Linked DNA regions of Drosophila melanogaster. The protein of the gene in region 1 interacts with the protein of each later gene in a pairwise test. Each region holds a gene or a part of one and is shown on either strand. Other genes may lie near its edges. The genes, in order: CG1572, CG15347, lqfR and CNT2.

Region 1 (6,087 bases):
CAGCAGAATGCAAAATGCAGCCAGCAGCGAATATAATTAAATGTAATTCTTTTTTTTTTCGATAATCATATCTTAATGCTTGATATACGAGTTGTATTTATTAGGCGAAACGTTTGTGTGGTCGGCGATCGAAGGAGGGTCAGTTAATTGTTAAAGAAAAATGCTTAATTTATCGTAATCGATTACCCTTTTCTTTTATATTTAATACTTGCGTGTACTTCTCTTAATTACTATGATTTTTTTTTTTAATACACCTAAACCACTTATTTGTGTTTACTGTATATGTAAATTAGTAGTTAAAGGCGAGGGCTTTATGCCCATCAACAGATAATAAAAACTGCGCCAGAGGGAGCGAGAAGTGTGTTTTAATTATTATTAGTAATTAGTAATTTCAATTGATTTTTTGTGTTTAGAGAATCTATTTCTATGAGAAGACAAACAAAGATGCAAATTCTATTATATATTATATTATATAGTAATTATTTTATAGATAACTAATTTAAAATATATTCAATAAAAACCATAAAAATTACCACCACGTTTTTTCTATTACTCTTTGGTATTAAATTAAATGAAATTATGATTTCATCGAATTTATATATTTGCTTGCTAACAGCAACATTTCCCGCATGGCCCAAAAGTATGCAACACTTTTTACGATCGGTTCAAAATCAAAAAGTACAAAGTACACTGGCCAACACAATTAAAGCATGCCGACAATAAAAAACTATTGCAGCTGAAGCAACAAATAAACAAACTACTACACATTTAGAAAAAACATATAGACACACATCTTTATTCGAATACATGACAATCTGTTTGGTACAAAAGAAAGTGAGACAAAAAAAAAGTTTTGTATATATCGGTAAAAGTACAAGTAAGTGTAACTAGCGCCAAAGAACGTTTCACAGTACAACAAAGATTCCGCCGCTTGGCACCCACTTTCTCTACATCTATGTTTGTATATCCCTGGGCTCTCGCCTCCTTCTCCTGCTTCGCATGACCAGTGGCTAGAGTTGGTTGTGGGAAGAACAAATGCTTCGAGATTGCAAATTCCACTTGAATGGCCGAGTGGGCGGTGGGTTTTGGGTGCTTTAGTGCTTAAATGCCGCGATAGGATCGGTGGGCCAGGAAGGCGCTGATGAAGTACAGCACCGCATTGACCAGGCCCAAAACACCGGCTGCCATATAGGCGTCGTGCTTTACATCGCGCAGCTTGAGCAGCAGGATGGTGGACGAGACCAGGATCAGGATGGCGGCCACACTGTGGTAAATCAGCTCCTGCAAAAAGGTTAATGGTCGTTGAAATGCACGGATTGCAGATACAAGGCGAAGTATATATATGTACGTTTGGAGTTCCATGGCTAATACTAAAGTATACAAAAGATATAGCAATGATGATTATACTCACATAGATCGTCTTGGCAATAATGCCGCCCGTGCTGAGCGACGTGAGGCAGGCGAGGAGTAAACAGAACGTTCCTATCATAAAGGTAACGGCCATCAGATAATGGAACAGATCCTGCTGGCCATAGAAGTATCTGTGGTAGTCCTGGTAGTTGAACGCCAGAATTCCCACAATGGAAGCACCAATGATCTGCGCAAAAAATCGTGATGGTTGTTACATTAAGTTCAAAGTTGCTATCGAATTCTGGGAGCATTAACGCACCAGCTCGAAGAGCTTGAGGATGCCGGGGAAAGTCTTCAGATAGCCCGTGTTCAGGACAATGTAGGAGGTGTTGGTGGTGCTGGTGGTGGTGCGGGTAATGGTCACTGAATGCGACATCTTCGCTCTGCTTCGGTGGTTCTTTTCGGGGGGTTAAAGGTGGGGTCTGCAAAGACAAATAAATAAATGAATAAACACAAAAAAAAAGTAAAATATTGGATGCTAATACCAATACAGAAATATAAGAAACTTCGGTGATAAGAACTGAAATTAAATAATAATACTTATCAAATTGTAAATGCTTAAAATTCGTTGAAATAAGCCAACAAATTTGCTGGTGATTCATGCAAAGTATATTTGCATCCATGTGTTAATTTATGGTTTAATTATTTGATTAAAATGAGTAAGTCTTAGGTTCTTTTTCTTTCACTTATATTCCCCGAATATCGTAATTCATATGGTGTGTTTTTATTTATTTATTGCTTTTTTTTTTTGTATCTTTTGTACTTTTTGGCCAGCTGTTACAGATCGAACGCCCTTGCCACGCCCATCGATCTGCAATGTATCCATACAATGTTTGTGTATTTTTGGCCATCCATTTGTTGCTGTTTTTGTTTTGGATTTTTGCTTTTTGTCTAATTTTAAAACAATTTTCAATGCCGGCCTCGCAGGCGAAAAAGCGCCAAATGCGTTATTGAAGCAGTGGGAGAATCGGAAAAATCTATTTACTTGACCGACGAGAGAAAACCCCCCCGCCCCATACAGAACCACTCCTCTCCCCCCGCGCAACGATTTCCCCCCTTTTTGGGGATCGGCAGCGAACAAAATAGATGAATCGCTCTCGTCTATATGTTCACCTAGGATTGGATATATGTAAGTCTGTATGTATGTACATATATGAATGTATGTAGATATGTATGCATAAACGTCATGAACTTTATGGTCTGCTGCCTGCTGTTCGTTGTGGAAAAGCTGAAGGAAAACTGAAGAAAAGCGCCTCGTTCGTAATTGGGACACACACACACACACACACACACTTTAAGTATACAGATGCCGTGGGTGGGCATAATGGTTATAGGGTATTCGCAAATGCCGTGCCAGATCTGGAAATCAGATTGTGACTATAAGTTCTGACTTCAGATTTGACGATTGGTAATCAAGCCGAATAACATTGTAGGCAAACAAATAAAACCAGTTTAGCTTAAAACAAATAACAAACGGAAGGATAGTGAGATTAATTCCAAATTAACTGCTCTGCTATAGCTATATTTGCTATATTTGGCTTAAAACAAACATGAGTTAAATAAAAGCCTTGTAAGACCCATACAGAGGAGTTGAAAATCGTAACTAATTTTATATTCTTGATATTTTAACTAAGCAAGGAAGAGATCAATTTAGAAAATACCAACGAATTATATTGTTTTAGGAAATGTGCTCATACAAGATTGATGGCAATTGGAATGGGGTTGGATTTCAGAACTTAGACCTTCCTCAAAATCGGTGGCGCATTAGACGAGTTCAAAAACGATGACGCCACCGGTGACGCAATAGTTTACACACAATGTGAATGATGCTCATCGAAATTCACAAAAGTGGTAGAGGCACATACATACACATACATATATACATATGTATATCCCAGTGGCATGGAAGGGGTGCGGCCCAAATTCCGAAGCGTAATACCGAAACCAAAAACCGAAAACCAAAAAAAAAAATAATAATAAGAAAACAAAACAAAGCAAAAACCAAAATAACAAGAACCCATGTGCGACATTTTATCGGAATTAAACAAAATACATTCCGAATATTGATTAGATGGCGGATTTCCGCCGAAAAGCGGTATGATATCATGCCTATGATGTACGATAGTTTAATTCGCATGCCAAGCAACTTGGCCCAAGCAACAGGTTGTTGTTTTGGGCCCTTTAAGATTCCTCTTTGGAACCGGAAGAGATGAACAAAGACGCCGCTTTTGTCAATTTCCCAAATGACAACAACTAATCAATATACATATGTACCAAAAGGCAAGCTATCAAATGTTCTGCTGATAAGAATATTTCCCCACTGCAAACGCGACTCACATTCGGTTTCGCATTTTCAACTCTGGAAATGATATCATCGCCGTCAATAATAATGCAGTTTAATGCTTGTAGGAGAAAAAAAATTAACAACATATTAATGCACAGCCAAGTACCGAGAATTCCAATTCCTTTTGCTTTTCGAAATGTACAAAAAAAATATATAAAAAAAAAAAAAAAACAATAAAACACACATATAGTCCCAGCGGTAGAAATGGGTGGTATGTACCTCTTTCTCTCTCTGTATATCTAAAGTTTTCGGTATGGATCTTACTCTTACTTTTCTCAAAATTCGGCGTAGGACTCAGCCAACTGGTTTTCCTCGCACTTTTCTTTCGACTTTTGCGTCTTTTCGCGCGCACGTTGCAAACGAAACTGAAACCGAAACTGAAAAATAAAAGCGTTTGGCCCGCTGCCTCTGCCACAGTTTTCAGCGTCGCAGTCGACGCAGCCGAGACGAAAACAAAACAAGACCCAGCAGAAGCCTTCCAGGCCGATTTACTGCGACTCGACTTGGGGGATACCCTGCATCACTTAGAACACTTCACAAGCGAATTAGGTTGGTAGTACAAAACATGCATTGCAATTTTTTAAATATGTCGCTTTTTGGGCCAAAAAATGCGAAATAATGGTCCAAATATGGATTGTTATACCTCGTTGAGTTCGTATTCAAAATTCTACTCAAACTGTGTTTAAAATTTGGAATATTAATTTTATGCCATTTTTCGCAAATTTTGATGATGTTACCCCTTACCAAAAATGCGAAAATCGACCCAAAAATTAATTTTTCAAAATCCATCAAAAAGTGATAGAGATAGTTAGTAGTGGTAATTAGCTGCACAAAACAGTCATTCCTGCACTTTTATGACCATTTTTAGACAAGTTATGATAAAAACACGCTTTATTTAAATCGTATTTTTGGCCGAAAGTCGTTTTCCAGATTTAAAGGAAGAAAATATTTAGTTTTTTGGCCACAACATTGGAAATAATGATCCAAATATGGATTGTCATACCTCGTTGAGTTCGTATTCAAAATTCTAATCAAACTGTGTTTAAAATTTGGATTTTTAATTTTTTGCCATTTTTCGCAAATTTTGATGATGTTACCCCTTACCGAAAATGCGAAAATCGACCCAAAAATTAATTTTTCAAAATCCGTCAAAAAGTGATAGGGATAGTTAGTAGTGGTTTTTAGCTGCACAAAACAGTCATTCTTGTACTTATATGACCATTTTTAGATAAGTTATAAGAAAACACCCTTTGTACATATCGTATTTTTGGCCAAAAGACGTTTTCCAGATTTAAAGGAAGAAAATATTTAGTTTTTTGGCCACAACATTGGAAATAATGATCCAAATATGGATTGTCATACCTCGTTGAGTTCGTATTCAAAATTCTAATCAAACTGTGTTTAAAATTTGGATTTTTAATTTTTTGCCATTTTTCGCAAATTTTGATGAATACCGAATATGCAAAAATCGACCCAAAAATTAATTTTTCAAAATCCATCAAAAAGTGATAGGGATAGTTAGTAGGGGTTATTAGCTGCACAAAACAGTCATTCCTATGCGTTTATGACCATTTTTAGACAAGTTATGATAAAAACACCCTTTGCATAAATCGTATTTTTGGCCAAAAGACGGTTTTCAGATTTAAAGGAAGAAAATATTTAGTTTTTTGGCCACAACATTGGAAATAATGACTGGTCTATGCCACCCGGATGCGTTTTCATCCAGGGTATCAGCAAGGCAATTCAGCCAACAACGCCAACAAGTTGACTTGACTGCTGGCTAGCGCGGTATAAATGACGCCTGACGTCATGATGTCATCGAGTGAGCGGCAGAGCAGCCAAGCAGCGGAGCGGCCAACCTTAATATTTGTAATCTTCAAGTGCAACTAGGCCCCCGGCCACGCCCCCTTGACACTGTTCATTGGCCGCCCACGGATTGGCAATTAAAAAGAAAGGAATTAAACTTGCTAGTGGAAGCTCCTCGGACTTTTTCTCTGACTCAGCGCCACCTGAAAGTGGAGAGTGAGAAAAGTGGGTGAGGGCGATAGAGAGTGCACTGAAAAGAAATACTAGTGTGTGTTCATATTAGAATTAGAATTATTATATAAATATGTAAGATATGCATAATCTATCTAGTACCACAAAGTATATATGCACACTGAATTTATATGATTAATAATATCTGATTGATCTGCTCGTACATTATTTATGGATAACCCCATTTATAAACAACATATCTATTACCAATGATATCCAATACCATGTCTATAACCATTTGTTTATATCATCAATTACAAAGCCATAAAAACTTTGATAAACATAATATCACTTTC
Region 2 (4,587 bases), 3.1 Mb from region 1:
TGTATATATATTTCCACGTACGTATGTTGCCTATAAATAGTTAGTTTAGTTAACAAATCGCTGGAGCCGAGTACCATGCACAAAACTGATCTATTTCCGCACATCCAGTTCGATCGAATGGAAAATGGCATCCGGAAAAGCGAGCCGTGAAAAGTAATTGACAAACATTCGGAGGCGTCGACACATTTATGCACTCCTCATTTGCGCCGAGAGCTTCCGGTTTTCCAACTGCCACTCCGGTACTTGCGGCTCGTCGTCGATTTCTCTTGGTCTGGGATCGGAATCGAGGAATAGAGGTATAGGGTATCGCAATTGAAATCGGGACTTCATAAACACAGTGGCATGTTGTCAACTGCAGTGCCAACCCGTTGACACCTCGTAAAAAGTGAAATGTGTGTTCACTGTGTTTATGCATTAAAGTTTTATGCTTACTTTTGCTTCAAAAAACATTACGATGAAGAACTGTTCAAAGTGAGCAACGTTTTGGTTATCCCCCAATCCCAAAATGTAATAACTAAACCATTTCTATTTTTGTCTTCTTTAGTTTAGTTATCTTTATTAACGTTTTGTTCAAAGTAATGAAATAAACGAGTATAAATGTAACATCCCAGTGTATGTATGTATGTATAATGATGTTTTAGAATGTAGAAAATAATAAGACGGGAATTTCTAAAAGAACTGGGTCTGTGGCATGATTGACTTTCGTCCATCATTCGACTCTGGCCGTCGTTACATCTTAGAGTCTCCAGGCGGCGACAAGACCGCTGATCAGCAGCGTCATGGAGATGATCAACTGGGCACCGCTGTCGCGTGCCAGCGGAATGTTGGTATCATTGGCCAGCAGAAAGTTGCAGCCGCGTCCCTCGCACGTATAACAGTTGCCATCCTTGACGCACTGCTTCCTGGCATTCGCCGAGGTGAGACAGCCGCGCTGGAAGGATCCGTCCACGGTGCGATTGCTATTGCGAATGTAGCACTTGTCGCCGAACTTGTACAGCGGGCAGATCTTGGCCGATACATAGGTCTCTGTGGCGCAGGACGACGAGGTCGAGTTCCCTGTGCACTGTAGGCACATGAGGCGGCTCAACGGGAAGGTGTTTCGATTGCATCCCTCGCTGTAGGTGCACAGCTGGCACAGTAGCTCGTTGTTGCACGAATTACGCGTGGCGTTGTCCAGATCGACGGCACAGCCGCGAATTGTGTAGCCATCTGCGAAAGATACCATTAGATGGTGCAGCCAGGGTAATCAATGCGATAACATACCCAGGACGCGGGAATAGCAGTTGGAGGATCCATCGGAACAGTTGCGATTGAGCAGGCTCAATGGATCTGTGGCGCAGCGTTCGTTGTCCTTCGAATTGCACTGGATGCATCCATCTGCAAATTGAGCGAGTGGAACGGAGCGTTTCGATTGAGTCATGCCTGATTAGATTAGATCAAGTTTTTCGTAATCGTTGCGTTGGCATAATGACATCATATTGATTTCGTGCAAAGTCTGCCTACCTACCACAGTGCATATGTGTTTGAATGTGTTTGATTATTTCTTTTTATGTATCTACCTGCATGCCTTATTACAATGACGCGCACTGTACTCGGATGGCAATTGTCTCGATTTTCCACAATCGATTCTTACGAACATGCCCATGACAAGTGAATCAGCAAACTTGTATGTTTTTGATAAGAAGAGTCAATTTACATTGGCTATAAATCGAAAGCTTGCAAGCAAATTATATTTAGCATATCAGGTGGCAGTAAATATTAAATATTTACCAAGTGTTTACATGAAAGTACGAATGTACGAGATTATGTTTCAACTTTAATAATGAAACGGAATAACTATGTACTTCATCACAAAGAGAAATTAAATTACCGCTGACATACAGCTGTGTTCATAAAAATAGCAGTGCTTGAGTTTAAAATAAAAAAATCTTAAGATTTCAAGTTTTAATGGGAAAATTTTTTTTATAATATCATTAGGTATTTAATTTTAAACAATTCAACAAATGTTTCACATTCATTTTTTTAATAGTTTCGAAAATATAGATTAAAACAAGCAGAAATAGCAGTGCTATGAAAAAATAGTAACAAAATTCAACTTGACTTAGAACGAACTTATTCTTAGCCGATTTGCTTCTGCGTTTCTTTATTTTTTATTTTTTTAATTTATTGCCCTTTTAAATATACAAATTCAAATTCAAATTCAAACTCACTTTTTAGAAAATATTGATCATTTCGGGAGTTTACGTTGGTCAAAACCAGACACTGCTATTCTGTTGAACAGCCTAAAAGTTGTGATTTTGCTCAAGAATGTAAATAAAAAAAAGGATAGCATAGAAAACTAACGACATTTTCTTTTTTTCCCTATCTACACATTCCAATTCACAAAAATAAGTGGAATAAAAATTCGATCCCGAAACATGAAAAAAAAACCGTCGCATTTCTTAGTTTCTCTTGCACTGCTATTTTTTTGAACACAGCTGTATGTACACATGGTTTAAATATATGGCGTACAATTTTCACATCTTTTTGCTGGCTCACTCACACTTAGAAAAAAAAGAATATGTTTGCCCAGTTACAAAGCTAAGAACCTTTAAAAGTTTCTTTGGAAACTCGCCTATTGATAGCTTATCATGAATTTATTTCCGTGTCCATGATATCACCGCTTATCACACCTTATATAAAACACTCAATAAGTTTTTCAATTCAAAGAGCAAAAAGAAAATTAAAAAAAAAAAAATACGATCCCGATGAAAATTAAAAGTGAAACTTATTTTGGAACAACATTTAGGCAGGTACAACATTTACCACAACTGATGTAGGCCAAAAACGAGAGGGCTGCAATCACCAACAGGTAAAACTTCATGGCTGATAACTGATGTAACTAATTTCACGACGATCGAATGTTGCGACTGGTTACGGAGCTGAACCAGAACTAAGGGAGTAGAAAAGGTTCAATGAGTGATTTGAGTTTTGCCGAGCTTTATACCCTATTCATATATACCTACAGCTTTACGATAAGGCACCACGACAACAGTAATTCTATTGGTGAGTTGAGAAAAAAAAGTGTTTTGAAATGATTCACGACGCTAAAGTTGTCGCTCTTTGGCATACATTCATTTTCATAAATTATGTTCAGCGGGTTAGTCAGCGCACTTGCGAAACTTCCAGATGTTTTAAAAATATATCTTTAATGTTTGCAAAATCGTAATAAATTTCATTTTCAAGTGCTAGCTAATCGCATTAAAATTTCAATTCAAATGCTAGCGCGCATTTGAATGCGTTCCACACTTATCGATAACACGTCGATAAGTACTCCTTGCCAGAGTTTTTAATTAATATAGTTTAGCAAAATATCATTTTGTTTCTATTTAAATTTAAATTGGTTCATACTCACCAATTTATTGTAAAGGAAGTCGAAACTTTTAAGCTGATTAATTTCACCTTTTACATCCGAGAATTAAAAAAAAATACAGGGAAATATTTTGAACCGACGTTTTGTTATTCTGAGTGAAACTTAAAACGGTCACACTTTGCTGGCAGACAAAAATATTCACTTTTTATATCTAAACAAAACAAAGTTATTTACGAAAAAAGCGAGATATAAACGGCAATGAGCGCCACGACTAGAACACCTGCCACACCGGGGACACCTGGCACTCCCGGCAGCCTGGCCATGGAAGTGGCCCGCGTCCAGAATTCAGCACTCGCCGAGTTTAAAAAGCCCACGGCGATGGTGCGCCACAAGAACAAGCCAAAGATCCTTACCGAGGAGAAGTACATCGAGGAGATGTCTAAGATCATCCAGCGCGACTTCTTTCCCGATCTGGAGCGGCTGCGTGCCCAAAACGACTACCTGGACGCGGAGTCACGGCGCGACTTTGTACAAATGGCCGAGATTCGGGAGCGCTACAGTCTGGGCAGGATTTCCGGGACAGGAAGAAGCACCAGCCGACGGAATAATGGTGGGTATTGTACTCAATTGGATGAACACCACTGGCACATCGCTGTCTGCTACTATCTTACTTGAAATCAAGTCTGATGAAATTATACATTGGCCAAGTTCAATAGATAGACCCATTAACTTTTTGAATTCCTTCATTTCAGCCATGTCCCCGGCCACATTTGAGACACCAGTGAGTCAGGCGAAATGTAGCAACACCCCATTGCCAAATTCCCGGGCCACAGACACACCATTTTCCACGGACGGCTCCGAGAAGAGCGATGCCGAGGGCAGGGACACCACCGCGAAGCTATCGCTGGACGCCTTTCTGCAGAAGTACACCAGCGAGGATAACCAGAGCTTTCAGGAGATCATCGAAACGGCCGAGGCCAAGCTGCGCCAAAAATACGCAGTACTGTACAACCATGAGAAGCTCTCCGCAGAGCAACTGCAGCGGGCCCTAATGCTGCCCAGCATAGAAACGCAATTCGAGGAGCCAGATCCGCTGAGAAAGATCGAAACCTGGAACTACACCAACATGAATTCCATTATGTACGTGCCCGATGGCGTGGAGTACACAGAGGAGGAGCGCGTCCAGTTGGCCGAACGGAAGCAGAGCATCCAACACAATGCCACCAGGCTGCCCG
Region 3 (7,892 bases), on another chromosome or scaffold:
GCGACCACACAAAGCTCAACCACTCGGATTGCTTGGTAAAATCCTCGCGGACAATAGACTTTACTAGCTTTTTGCTCACTTCCTCCAATTGAGCGCTTTTGAAGTTTAGCAGGGCCGATGTTAGGAAATAGGCACTGAGATCTTGGGGGCGACAGATTTCACTATTCTTTAAAAGCCACTGCGTAAGTGATTCCAAGATATCTACCGAAAAAAATAAATTACATTAATCACAACTTTTTCTGATGTGTTTATATCCGAGCTAACCCAAATCCCGGTATCGTAAAATGCCCAGGCTGGTGATAATGGATCCCACAACGGCAGACTTCTCCACATTCTTAGGCAGCGCCGATTGCACATCCGCACACACTTTAGCGCCTAGAACAGAATCCTGGAAATTCAACGTGGACATAGCGAACAGCACATCCCCCGCTTGCTTTAAATCCAGCGATTCCGACGCGCTGCTGATATTAAAGGCCAGGGAGCGCAAGAGAGGAGTACTACGCCTCTTCCGCTGGGCCAGGGTGCTCATCACCTTGACCATCTGGGGCAGACTGATGCTAGCTATCAGCTTAGCGGCCTCATCGTCACCAGCTACGCCAAGCACCGTGTTTAGGTCATCTGTTCGGAAGCCGGAAATCCGCTTGGCCGTCCCATTGTCACCAAGGTCCTTGTTGTTAGCATTATTATTTTTGGGAACCGTCCGGCCCAACATCCGGCAAATACGTAGGAACCTTGTGTCGTTCTCGAATTCCGAGATCTTTACTCGATTCAAGGTGCTCCACTCGGCCAGTATGGAGACAATTCTGAGGGCATGCTTCCTCGAGAAGCCATTGTTGTTCTCCGTGATAGTTAGCAGTCCATTGACTGTCTTTGCGTTGATGATACGCTCATCGATCTTGCTGGAGGCTTGGCTTTTGCTCTCATCTTTGGGATCGTCGTTTCTAAGGGATTCGAAAGCAGCGGCTACCATGTGGCCTGCAATAAGGATGGAGTGAATACCAATTAGTAAGGAGGACAACAATTTTAGAATCTACCTACCCCTGGGCTTTTTGGCCGCCTCCTCCACAGCCGGCGCGCGTGCTTCCGGCTCCACTGCATCCGATTGTGCTCCAGTGGGCGCCACGGGAATGCCCGCTGCCCGGACACTGCTGCTGAAGGCTGCACGGCGGTACAACTGGGTGACAAAACTGCCGGCAAAACGTTGTAGTCCCAACATTTTCAGTCAATCCACACGCTGCAAGAGACCACAGAAGTTTACATAACCTTTTTGTTTACATTTTTAGCGGCCAGGAAGGGGCTTTACAAAGCATGCCAATGATATAGGCTTATATTCATGACTTGAACCGTCTTATTTCCCCTGATATCCTTCACGTTTCATTTAGTATTTTCATTTATTTTAGTAAACTTTCCTATTGAACGTTGAGAATCCACAGATGACAGCAGCGTTCAGCTGATGGTAGTGTAGGGTAAGACCCGTCGGCTCCATGCAAAGCTTTTGTAACACTGCGAGCTGTGCTGCCAACTCAGCATTTTCTAGCTAGATCTGGCGTTTTTTATTCCGGAACTTAGGTGTCATTGCATGTGCTTTCGGTTATTTGGTAAATGCTTCCAATTTTATTACTATGCCGATTTCTCTTTGTGCTTTATTAATAAGAAAACTAATGTTTTATTGAACTATTTCGGTTATTGGTAAATGGTTCCCATTTTATAACTATGCCGATTTCTCTTTGTGCTTTATTAATAAGAAAACTAATATTTTATTGAACTATTTGGAGCACAAATTTAAAAAGCTAATTTTCATTAATAACGGCTACAGCTATTTATCGGATTTAGCTACACTTGAACAGTGAGAGTTGGAAACACTGTTTGCAACACTGGACACGACAGCTCACCAAATATTAGCTGCTGTGATTTTGTTTTACAATTTTCGTTTAAATTTTTACATTTTTGTTTGCGGAAAGCGCGGGTGCGAGACAGGTGCGCCGTTTCCATGCAAAAGTGCAAATCGTCAGCTGCAAAACAGTCAGAAAACGGCACGCCAAGCGAAAACGAGTTCGACGTCTTGTTGTAGTTGGATTTTCCAGCCACTTTTCGACGAGATTGTGTGAAAAATTCCGTAGCATTCAATAGTCTCAAAATGGTGGATAAATTCATCAGCATGTGGAAAGTGCGCGAATTGGCGGACAAGGTGTAAGTGATCAGGAATATATAGGATATATCCATACGTATATGTAATGGGATGTGTGTATAACATTCCCTTAACGCCGAAGTGAATGTTAAGACTCCCACGCCCCAAGTTTTCTGATTTCCCGCCACGCCCCCAACTCCTCAAGGATTTCAAAAGCCCTATGTCATGCATAAATCCCTAATAATTCATAAAGATATCTTACTTATGGATCAACTGCATCGGGGTGCTGGATTAGGTTCACGTTTTTAACTGCTTTCAAGGTTGTTCGCCATTTCAAGAGAGCTTTACCAACACAGCCACATTCCGATATTGATATCCATGTGTATATGCGCCTGTGTGTGTGGGGCTTTATCAAGAAACAATTTGTTTGCTTTCGACTGCCCAAATATAACAATTTTTTCACCTGTGTTAACAGCTCCACTTCCAGGCTTTCCAGTGAAATGGGTGTTTCTCTTTCCCCCATCGAATTATTAATTATGGGTGTCCCCTTTCACCTGCGCCTTTTATGGGGTAGTTATTTCTAAAAGCGAGCCTATAGTTCGAATAAATAATGGTGGCTCGATAGCCAACACCGAACTCATTAGGTTAAGTGCGCGGGTACACCTTTCCTAGGGCTTATCTCGAACTGATAAGGAACACCTAGATGGCCCATTTGCGACAATTGGCCCACTTCCATCACGTTTCGAACGTCTATCAACGTCGCAGCCAAGCCATGCGTATTACTTATTTATCTGCATCTTTGCATTGTATATCCATATCGTCACACAACGTTTACTTAAAAATACCAGTTCTGATTAACTGGCCCTCTATCTATTTGATTATCTATTCAATTGAGTTTACGGAATGTCCCAGTCAATATGCCTTTTTTCTTTACTTAAGTATATATCAATTATTTAAGGAAACAAGCTCGGATTAAGATTTGTATTTACATATGTACAAAAGTTCTACGACTAACATCGTGAATAGTTAATAGTTACTTTAAAATAAAACAATGACTTCGTTCCCACTTGCAGCACCAATGTCGTGATGAATTACACGGAAACGGAGGGCAAGGTGCGGGAGGCCACCAACGATGATCCTTGGGGGCCTACAGGACCCCTCATGCAGGAATTGGCCTATTCCACCTTCTCATACGAAACATTCCCGGAGGTGATGTCCATGCTGTGGAAGCGCATGCTGCAGGACAATAAAACCAACTGGCGACGCACGTACAAGGTAACGTTTTCAGTTTAAACTAATAAATATAGAGCTAACGAGTATATATTTACTTACAGAGCCTCCTTCTGCTAAACTATTTGGTGCGAAACGGCTCTGAACGGGTGGTAACCTCCTCTCGGGAGCACATCTACGATCTGCGCTCGCTGGAGAACTATACATTCACCGACGAGGGCGGCAAGGATCAGGGTATTAATGTTAGGCATAAGGTACGAGAGCTTATAGACTTTATTCAGGATGATGATCGTTTGCGCGAGGAGCGCAAAAAGGCGAAGAAGAACAAGGACAAGTACATCGGCATGAGCAGCGACGCCATGGGCATGCGAAGCGGTGGCTACAGCGGCTATAGCGGTGGATCTGGAGGAGGCGGCGGTGGCAGCGGTGGCTACAATGATGGCGACTATCGCTCTAGTCGTGGAGACAATTGGTGTAAGTAAGAAATTTTTATTTTTTTAAGATTTTTGTTCAAATTCTCTATATGTAATATTAATATTGATGATTTTTCTTCAGACTCCGACAAAAGCGCCGACAAGGATCGGTATGAGGATGATGATACTCACTACGATGGAGAGCGAGAGGGATCCGATAGCGACTCACCCAGTCCAAGGCAAGTTTTCACTTTTCCGATTAACCTGCTCTATATCCTAATGTACTCTTTTCTCCTCACAGACGTAACTATCGATACAATGACCGTGCGAGTCCTGCCGAAGTAGCCAGCGAGGCCAAACCTTCCAGCCTCAACATGAACATTCGTTCGAAGACCGTCAGTTCCCCTGTCTCCAAGCAGCCCACTTCAACGGCTTCTGCCAAGCCAGCGCTGTCCCAGAAGAAGATCGATCTGGGTGCGGCAGCAAACTTTGGAAAGCCAGCTCCTGGCGGTGCTGCTGGCATTCACTCACCAACTCACCGTGACACTCCCACCAGCGTGGACTTGATGGGCGGCGCTTCGCCATCGCCGTCTACTTCCAAGGCAAACAATAATACGCAAAGCAATAACAACGATCTGCTGGACGATCTGTTCAAGACCTGCTCGCCACCGCCGGGGCAGGAGAAGACGCTGAACAGTGCTGCCGTGATTGTGGATGACGATGATGACTTCAATCCGCGTGCCAGCGATGCTAGCCAGCAGGAATTCGGCGACTTCGCCTCTGCTTTCGGGCAGCCCTCGGCGGGATCGACGATCAGCGAGCCACCATCAACGGGCCTGGTTCCGGCTGCGAACGATGAGTTCGCCGACTTTGCGGCGTTCCAAGGCTCGACAACGTCGACATCTGCGCTGGACGGTAATTTGCTGAAGACTGCCACGCCGGCGAACGATTCGTTTGACCTGTTTAATTCAGCTCCCACCTCGACGGCAGCAGCCACAACGGCTACAGATCTCCTGGCAGGCCTGGGCGATCTGTCCATTCACCAAAGCATGCCCATGGGTGAGTTGTAGTTTGATTCTTGTAGCTTAACATATTATTAAATTTGAAATAGTTTTAAGATTAGAGTAATTGCATTGGCCTTAGTCACTTCATGATATATTTAGGTATCGCTGCATGAAGGTGCGCCTTCCGAGCTTGACTAGAGCCGTTATCTCTACCTCGAGCTCCACAGCCCACACAAAGATACACTATCTCATCCTCCCACATATAAACGGCAACATTTTCCAATCGGATGCACTCGTTCTCTTCTCGTTCTCTCTCGTAGCTGTTGAAGAGCAGTTGGCATCCAGTAATGATTCGATGTCGTCGGCTTCCCCACAGCCACCATCTGAGGCAATGCGTCTAGCTTTTTCCAAGGCACAGAAGCAGCTGCGCGATTTAATGCAGGTCCAGAGCGCTTCAGCCGTTGCCCAAGTAGCAGCTATTTTGGGGGAACTGCATAACTCAAACGCACTGCCCGGATTTACCACACCTGAGCAGTTGGTTGGCCTCGATCGTCAGACGTGCGACTGGACCTGTCTTGCCCATGGAGAGTATGCCGCATTGCTGAATCAATTGACAGAGCTATTCAGCCAGGATTGGCCAGAGCCATCGCAGGATGTTGAAGTCGTTAACATTTTTAAACTGGATCACAGCTTTGATTATGTATCGGTTGCCTTTGAGTCGCTTCAGACTAGATTGGATAAGTTTCCCAGTACTATTAGTTCCTTACTGGAAAACATGGTTAAGGATGAGAGCCTAATTTCTATCGCCTTGCTGCACATCTCCCGCCAGAGAGCTTCCTTAATGCAGCGCTTTGCGCGGACCATCAAAGTTATGCCGGAAAGAAAAGTGGAGGAGCTGGATGCCCAGGTGAAAGCGTTCTTTCAATTGCTAATCAGTCTGCCAGCCCAGGTGGCCAATCGACTGGGTAGAAGACTGCCAGAGACGTTTGCTCCAGTTTCTTATCAGAAACTCCTGCTGCGCCAGTGGCTGAAATCCTTGCACTTTGTCCTACAGTGCGATGATAATAGGGAATACTTTGATTTGGAACCGTACTCCTGGCTTTTGTCACAGGCTATTAACCTTATTTACGATGTTTCAACTTTGGAAAGCCTCCTACGAGTACTTAAGGACTACGCGGTGGCTCCCAGAGGAAGAAAAGTAGTTCATACCATATTAAAAGAATTGGATCCCGCTGCTTGCCTAAAAACAGCACAATCGGCTCTTTCTGCGGGATTGAACCTGTACGTTCTTATAGGTGCTGCCACTTTGGAGACACCTCATTGGAAGCATTGCCTGCTCCAGAAGTTGCCTCTTCAACGCACACCCGTGGATAATAAGCAGCTTATAACATTGGCCAGTTATCTTAACGCCGTAGCTCCTGCTCAACTGCAGGTTCTTTTGAATCAGTTGCTTGGAATCTGGTCGAAGCGCATTTCCTTGCAGAAACTGGGCAGCCAAGAGCACTTGGCTATATCCAAATTGCTTGTGTTGGCGGCAAAATGCCTTTGTGGGAATCTTGTAATGGATTTGAACATCCAGCGTCAGCTCCACGATGGACTCAGCAACCATTTGCAGTCCCCAGATGCACTGCAGCGTCATGTGGGAATGAAGACCGTGGAGCTAATTTTCAATTTTATTGCCTTGCCTGATGCGAAGGAGGATGATCGTCTACGATTTGAGTACGATTCATTTAAGGATACATTTCATTGGCACATCTTCGAAGAGTTTGATGAACTTGGCCAGTTTGAAAGCCCGAGCAAAACTAAGCTAGATGAGAAGCCTTGTGAGGATCAGCTGAAACAATTAGAACTTCATCTCAGTGACTTTATGAGTACTACAGAGCAGAAAGAGCCGCATAAGCCGAATATTGAAATACAAGCGAATCCCGCTCCCGAAAATCAGAATGTAAACATGCAGCTGGACTCGGATGACGACGAGCCACTGGATGAAGACGACGATGAATTGAAACCCTATGACATGTCCAACGATACAACCACCACCATTGATCAACGTCCCAAATTCGTCATCGACTTACTGCACTTGCTCCGAGAAAAGGTGGAGAATTATCAGGTGTTCGAAGGAGCCTTGGGCACAGCGGAGCAACTTATACGGGGTCAGCTGGCCAAACATGATACTCAGTTGGCCTTGGATCTGCTACAACTTTTCTTGGTCATGGAAATGCAGTTCTACTATGAGCAATTCGAACGTACGCAATTTAAGTGTTGCGTGGCCATTTGTGTGGCTCATCCTGGTCCCTGTGCCGAGTACCTATGCCGCCAGTTCCACACGGATAACTCCTTCTATTCGGCCAGTGTCCGTATTCTGATCCTTCAGGTACTGGCAGCAACGGCGAAAGAACTTTCTGGCGATGAAAACATGCAGAATGAGATGGAAATTGTGGATGTTATACCACCGGCAGCCAAGCATCCCCGAAAGTTCGAATTTCAACAGGAGGAGGAGAGTCCGGCCGCTCGTCTGGCCGCTGCGCAAAGGATCATCCGCGACCGGCTGCGGGCCAAGACGAAGAGATATTTCAGCAAGCCCAAAGCTGGAGATCAAATGGAGAAGGCCAACCCATTTCACCCCGTTGCCGGTACATTTTTCTTCAGTTTGGTGAGGGGACAGCGCACCCGTCAGATGCTTTACGTAAAATACGAAAATATTTCTCACGACATCGACACCCAGTTGCTTGTTAACCTGCTAAACACCATGTCCGTGTTGGTTATGTGCTCCCAGAACTGTCCACTGTTGCCAGCGATGACCCGCGAGATCTTTGACCTATGCGCCTTTGTGCGTTTCAATGCCGAGGCCCGCGTCCGAGCGGCCACATTGCAGCTAATAGGAATCGCCTTGGTAACCACACCAGCTCATGTGCTGGCCCAGCACTTTGCGGAGTCATTGAACGAACTGCAGCGCTGGCTGAATGACTTCATAAGATCGCCATTGGTGGGCGGAGAGACTTCGGAGGAGTGTCGTGAACTGGCCCAAAGCATTTTGGACACCTGCTACAAACTCTTTGATACAGCCGCCATGGAACAGGCTGCCTAACTTGGCCATCAAAAAGTTTTGAAAGCAGC
Region 4 (6,075 bases), on another chromosome or scaffold:
CCATCGATTCCCCACTTTCTCTCCCCCGAACTCATGCTGGTCTTAAAATAATGTCTTGTTTTATATTTGTAACTTTAGGGCCAGTTGACTTAATTAGTTTTTAGTTCATCGGTTTGCCAACCGCGTAACCTTATTTAAATTATATTTTAAGTTTCGTTGTAAGCAGTGCCCATTTTCGGTCAAAATTTGATTTTATTTTTAAATCTCCTGTACTCTAGAAGCCTGTGATTTAGATGGGGTTGAAGTCGCACATTTTTGCAACAAAAATTGTCAAAGCCTCAAGAGGAAGGCAAGCCCGGAAAACAATTTATACGAATTTAAGTAATATATTTAGATGCTAAACAAAATTAATCAATGCCTTATCGAAGCATTACAATCCCTAACTTCTGCACAATTCCCTCGAAAACCAGCAAGCCAAGAACGAACCAAATCAAGCATTTTCGATTCTATTGATAAGTGATTAAAGTCCCGCAATATAGTTGTGTTACATCATAAATAAGTCACTAGGTTTAAAGTGCCTTTCTGCTAAATCTCAAAATTCCCCATTGGAACCCATTGACCCTTTGGTTTTAAGATTTTAAGAACCACATGTTCATCCAGTCAAAGCACATTGTATCCCTAATCCTTCATATCCATACCTACTAAGTGCATTTGCAAGTCGATAAATGAAATATAAAGATGAATATGATCTATTAATAAATTTAAATCGCACGAACACGTGTAGAGTTGCGAATCAAATATAAAGCCAGTTGACTACAGACTTTCTTGTATTATACCCCTTTTGGATCAGATTATCACACGAGGGGCTCGACGATAAGATACGATGCTCTTTCCTATTAAATCGCACAGAATTACGATTGGCAACCTCCTTTAACTTTGCACCCTTCGATTGGCCAATCAGTTGTGTCATTCTGCTAATCGCCGACCACCAATAGAAGTCTTTATCAATGGGCGGGTGTACGACTCGGTATCGCGGTAGCCTTCCTCTATCGCAATATAGCTATCAGATTCCTCAAACGTCATCGCTATCGCATTCAATCTGCTGAGGGGTTTATGGCCCTTCTGAAAATTATCTGGCACTAATATCGGCCTAGAACGCATGCCGAGAACATCTCATTGTTAACAGCCAGCTGATAAAACAGGCAACATGTCATCTCAATTGCCTATTTAGCGGTACACTGCCATCGCAAGTGTATTAGGATGCACAGGGAAAAATAAGTATAAAGAACTTAAAAAGATTATCAATCGAACCTACTTGAAAATAGGGCAATTGATCATCATTAACTTAATATTAGACTGATATATCTCAATAAATATTATTTATAATATCTTCAAAGAAATTTTTTTTTATTAAAATAAGAAAAGTATAAGATGATTGAAACCAATGTGGATTCTAATATTATCTGCCTGTTTTCAAATGTTATTAAATTATTATTTTTATTTTATATTATAATTTTTTAATTGATATTAAATTGATCTTTTTCATCAGTGATCCATTTTGCGGCATTGCACTTTAAGTTAAAACTCAATTTGTAAAAATTGAGTTGGTACAATCAAGCTAATATTTATTTAATAATTATTTCACTGTGTAGTTAAACCAAATTAACACCTTACCAATCGGTATCACACAGTATTAGCTGGGTACTCAAGTACCCATTGATTGCTATGATGAAATAAAAAGCCTCATTAAATATTAAAATCGAGAAATTACAAATTTCTTACGAGCTTTAATGTTAATTTGAGGTAAGCTTTGCTCTCAACTTATATTTCTGTAAATCAAAAAGGCCAAATGGTATCAAGACACCATAAATTATTAGATAGAAAAAAGGCAGTGCGAATCCTAAACCTGATACCTTCTTATCAGATACCGTGTAGTAGCGATTGTATTAAAAAGGCCCGTTCGGAGCAAACCGAATTTAGTCTTGCCGCGAGTTTCAACGAGCTACAATGGCAGTTAGCCAACGTTTTTAGTCTGGCTAAACAGATGCATTTATCAGTCATTTGTATTCGGGCAGACAATAACGACGTTAAAAACCCGTTTCGGCCATAACAAACCTATAGTACTCATCAGATACGAAGCAAAACAAACAGTAAAAAGGTGAATTAACTGTCGTTCCAAAAATTCAAGGTGCGATCATTATATAGACTTAAAATACAAACTGAATACTCGTATAAAAAACGTGTTTTTGAATGTGAACTCTGTATGATTTTAGTCAATTTTGTAGAAAAAACAATAATCGGCAAAAAACACGTGTTCTCGAGGCTGAATATACATATAACCATGTTCTCAGAGCTGGTCTATTAAATATAAGTGCTTTATTAACTTTCACGAGTTTGGCTAAATGCCACTCTGATAGTGCTATCAACTCTGTTTCGATTACCCAGAATGGAAAATCCTAACCGAAAGACCACCTAACGAGGAACTATACTATATTGAATGGGATTTACAGCCCGAATTTATCAGGAATGAGAATTGAAGTGGATTATTTATAGCCTGTGCTGTAGTTTACAGCCCAGTCCCGTTGTTGGCCTCTTAAGTTAATGCCCGGAAATTATTTGAGTGGCCATCCACGTGCTGGAGTTTAGTCATTGACTCTGAAAAACTAAGTGCCCAATTCAAAAATCCTGGCCCATGTGCAAATTTTAAAATTGGAATCCGCGGATCCTATCGCTTGCTTTTGAGTGGCATGAATCGTTCAAATTGCCAAACTTTGATTCAGATAGCTAACACACACCTATCTTGTGCTGTGCGACACTTGGCATATATGCCCACTCGAGTCGAGGGCTAAAATAATTTGAAAGAGATAATGCCAGATTATGATTGCGGCAAATTACTTGTCGCTGGGTATTAATACCACATACTCGTAGTTTTTCTCTAAGTATATTAGTTTCGTTTAGGGTATATAAGATATATATAGAATATATATAGAAAGAATTTGACCCTATAAATAGTATATTCTTCATAAGGATCCGTCAGTTGTCCGTCCGTCCGTCCGCATGAAGTTCGATATAGAACTCTAGGCAACTTTAGGCATGCAAGTTTGTTTTAAGCCGTTGCCACGCCCACCGATATCGCTAAAGTCTGCCCACATGCTTAACGTCTAAATAATGTTGTGATAGGCTTATCAAAAATAGGACTCGTTCAAATTGGACCATTAGAAAGGTATTAAGAGTAAGCTGAAAGCTTATTAACAAAATATAGCAAGTAAATTTGCTGCCAAAGCAACAACTCGCTTTGTTGTACCGGGTATATAATAGTCGATACACTTAACTTAAACGTTCTCTCTTGTTTTTTGTTATAGATGTCAGCCGAATCATCAAAAGGAGCTATTAACAATGGCTACGAACTGGATCATGTAGGTTTTTAATTAAAAAAGCTTTGTAAACCAGATTAAATATTATAAAATGTCATAGAAGGAGTTGGACATCCGTGACTCGGAAGAATTCACGGAACATCCACTGGATGACACCAGCGAGGTGGCAAATAAAAAGGGATATTTTGAAAAGAATCCAAAAGTAGCGCGACTGGTGAGGATCTCGATTTATGTACTGCTGCATCTGTGTGTTGTGGGGTACTTCTCATATGCAACCTACCACTATCACGACATAAGTAAGTATATCGCCAAAATAATTAGCAAGAAGTATACCATTATTTATCTACAGCCAACTATGAGTGCTATTGGAAAGACAACCCATTGTGCGGCATCAACTTCTGCACGGGCTATGGAATGCTCCTGCTCCTCCTGGGATTCATCTATTTGGGTCTATTCTACTACTATGTCTTTAAGCCGATGGTGGGGCACAGCCTGCACAGGAACTATATCAAACCATTTTCAAAGAAATGGCACAACTTCAGCAGAACCAGGTAAACTATTATGAAGAAAATATATGTTTAAATCTTCTAACTACTCCTCTTCGTTTTCCCAGAGTTGTGTCATTGGCCAGCATCGCATTGCTCCTGGCCCTTTTGGCCATCTTTGTGTACTTCGAGTGCCGGGACGAGACCCAAAAACTGGTGTCCCTGGTGGCACCCTGCTTCTTCATCCTGTGCGGCTACGTTTTCTCCACGAATCGAAGAGCCATTAATTGGCGCATAGTCATCACGGGAATCACGTGCCAGTTTCTGCTCGGCATTTTCTGCATCCGCTGGGAGGTGGGACGAAAAATCTTCGAGTGCTTGGGCAACAAGGTGGCCACGTTTCTGGGCTATGCCACCGATGGAGCCGAGTTCGTGTTCGGCGACTTCCTGGTGAACAACAATGTGTTCGCCTTCGCCATCCTGCCGGTTATCTTCTTCTTCAGCTTCTTCATCTCCATCCTGTACTACATGGGTACAATGCAGTGGGTGGTGATCAAACTGGGCTGGATCCTGCAGCAGATTCTGGGCACCACTGTTTGCGAAAGCGTGACGGCCGCAGCCAACATCTTCCTTGGCATGTCCGAGAGCCCGCTGCTCATTCGGCCGTATATCAACAAGCTGACCAAGAGCGAAATCCACAGCATCATGGTGTCCGGATTTGCGACCGTGTCCGGAACCGTGTTGGCGGCCTACTTGTCATTCGGTGCATCGGCCGCGCACTTGATCACCTCCTCGGTGATGGCAGCTCCCGCTACTCTGGCCATCTCTAAGCTTTACATGCCCGAAACGGAGGAGAGCCAGACCTCATCCGATTCAATTGAACTGGAAAAATCGTACGTATTTCTAAGGCGCCTAGTTTAACCCAAATGTCTAACTAGTTCACTGTCATCCTTGTAGACAGGACTCTTCGCTGCTGGACGCAGCGTCCAGTGGTGCCAGCAACGCCGTGCCCATTGTTCTGGGCATTATCGCTAACATAGTCGCCTTCGTCGCCTTCATCGCCTTCCTAAATGGTCTGGTCAGTTGGTTTGGTTACCTGGTGGGTCTCGAGCAAATCGACTTCGAGTGGATATTCTCTAAGCTGTTCATCCCGCTGGTCTGGGCCATGGGGGTGCCAAAAGAGGATTGCGATATCATCGCCAAGGTGGTGGCCACCAAAACCATTATCAATGAGTTTGTGGCCTATGAGCGTCTGGGTCAATACATCGAAAATAATGATATCACTGTAAGTTGTAGATGGTGTGAAACCCATAGCTCATCTGGAAACTAACGTTTGAGGTCGATTTTTGTAGGCCCGCAGCGCTGGAATCGCCACATTCGCCATCTGCGGCTTTGCCAATCCCAGTTCCCTGGGCATCCTTATCGGATCCCTCAGTGCTATGGCACCACATCGTCGCTCCACCATTACAGCAGTGGCTTTCCGAGCGTTTGTGGTGGGCAGCATAGTCTGTTTCGTATCCGCCAGCTTTGCAGGTCAGTCGATAAACGATCATAAATATTTCTTATTATTTTAACTAGTTTTACTTTATTATAGGCATCCTTATACAAGAAGATGACGAGCGGGCGAACTACAACAGGATATTCGAGAAGTTGGGTCGAAAGAATGTTACTCAGTTTTAGTTCCTTAAAGTTGTAGTTCGTGATAATTAGCTGATCAAATTTAGCAAAATACAATTCTTATTTATTAAAGATGTTTAGGATTATTTTTACCTATTTGTTTACTAAGGGGCTGTGGGATATAAGTCATAAGATCCACACAACACTTCTTTACACTACACACTGTTTCTCATTTATACACACAATGGCAGAACCAATAGAAGGCGAACAGGAGGAAAAGCCTCCGCCATCGAGGGCAAAGCGAATCACCTATCTGGTACTCCATGTGCTGCTCCATATCATATTCATATCTTACTTTACGGCAGCCACAATCATTTTCATCTTTTACGGTAAGTTACCCCTTTGAGTTCGAATGTAAATGTTTATGAGGAAAAACCCAGACAAGGATTCCAAAGAATGCTGGCCCAATAGGGGCTCGGAAGCCACAACCGAATCGATAGATAACTCAACCGAAGATGATGATGATGATGATTATGACACAGAAGAAACTTCTGAGAAGCCAGTGCCAGAGGTTAAGCCAAAACTATTGTGCCAAATTAACTGGTGTCATGGATACGGGTTTCTCATCGTCTTGTTCATCTTGTTTTATATCCTATGGC

What was found.
Region 2: the proteins of CG1572 (region 1) and CG15347 interact in a two-hybrid assay, tested with the Drosophila melanogaster proteins (one large-scale study listed by BioGRID).
Region 3: the proteins of CG1572 (region 1) and lqfR interact in a two-hybrid assay, tested with the Drosophila melanogaster proteins (one large-scale study listed by BioGRID).
Region 4: the proteins of CG1572 (region 1) and CNT2 interact in a two-hybrid assay, tested with the Drosophila melanogaster proteins (one large-scale study listed by BioGRID).

Annotation. Positions count from the first base shown.
Region 1 is NC_004354.4:11,554,515-11,560,601, forward strand, and holds CG1572 (uncharacterized protein), read right to left. Parts: upstream 4,124-6,087; 5' UTR 3,974-4,123; intron 1,925-3,973; exon of another isoform or gene 1,896-1,924; intron 1,833-1,895; 5' UTR 1,787-1,832; coding exon 1,670-1,786; intron 1,598-1,669; coding exon 1,412-1,597; intron 1,282-1,411; coding exon 1,102-1,281; 3' UTR 536-1,101; downstream 1-535.
Region 2 is NC_004354.4:8,457,961-8,462,547, forward strand, and holds CG15347 (uncharacterized protein), read right to left. Parts: upstream 2,939-4,587; 5' UTR 2,864-2,938; coding exon 2,806-2,863; intron 1,423-2,805; coding exon 1,264-1,422; intron 1,210-1,263; coding exon 737-1,209; 3' UTR 534-736; downstream 1-533. Other genes in the region: Es2, read left to right, coding at 3,611-3,962, 4,105-4,587.
Region 3 is NT_033777.3:22,409,448-22,417,339, forward strand, and holds the start of lqfR (liquid facets-Related), read left to right. Parts: upstream 1-1,853; 5' UTR 1,854-2,137; coding exon 2,138-2,190; intron 2,191-3,201; coding exon 3,202-3,403; intron 3,404-3,462; coding exon 3,463-3,832; intron 3,833-3,913; coding exon 3,914-4,010; intron 4,011-4,072; coding exon 4,073-4,830; intron 4,831-5,095; coding exon 5,096-7,863; 3' UTR 7,864-7,892. Other genes in the region: CG13850 (uncharacterized protein), read right to left, coding at 1-201, 265-975, 1,039-1,216.
Region 4 is NT_033778.4:9,076,814-9,082,888, forward strand, and holds CNT2 (concentrative nucleoside transporter 2), read left to right. Parts: upstream 1-1,907; 5' UTR 1,908-2,098; exon of another isoform or gene 2,099-2,128; intron 2,129-3,302; coding exon 3,303-3,356; intron 3,357-3,414; coding exon 3,415-3,610; intron 3,611-3,663; coding exon 3,664-3,865; intron 3,866-3,927; coding exon 3,928-4,692; intron 4,693-4,756; coding exon 4,757-5,084; intron 5,085-5,151; coding exon 5,152-5,332; intron 5,333-5,393; coding exon 5,394-5,479; 3' UTR 5,480-5,561; downstream 5,562-6,075. Other genes in the region: CNT1 (concentrative nucleoside transporter 1), read left to right, coding at 5,661-5,805, 5,857-6,075.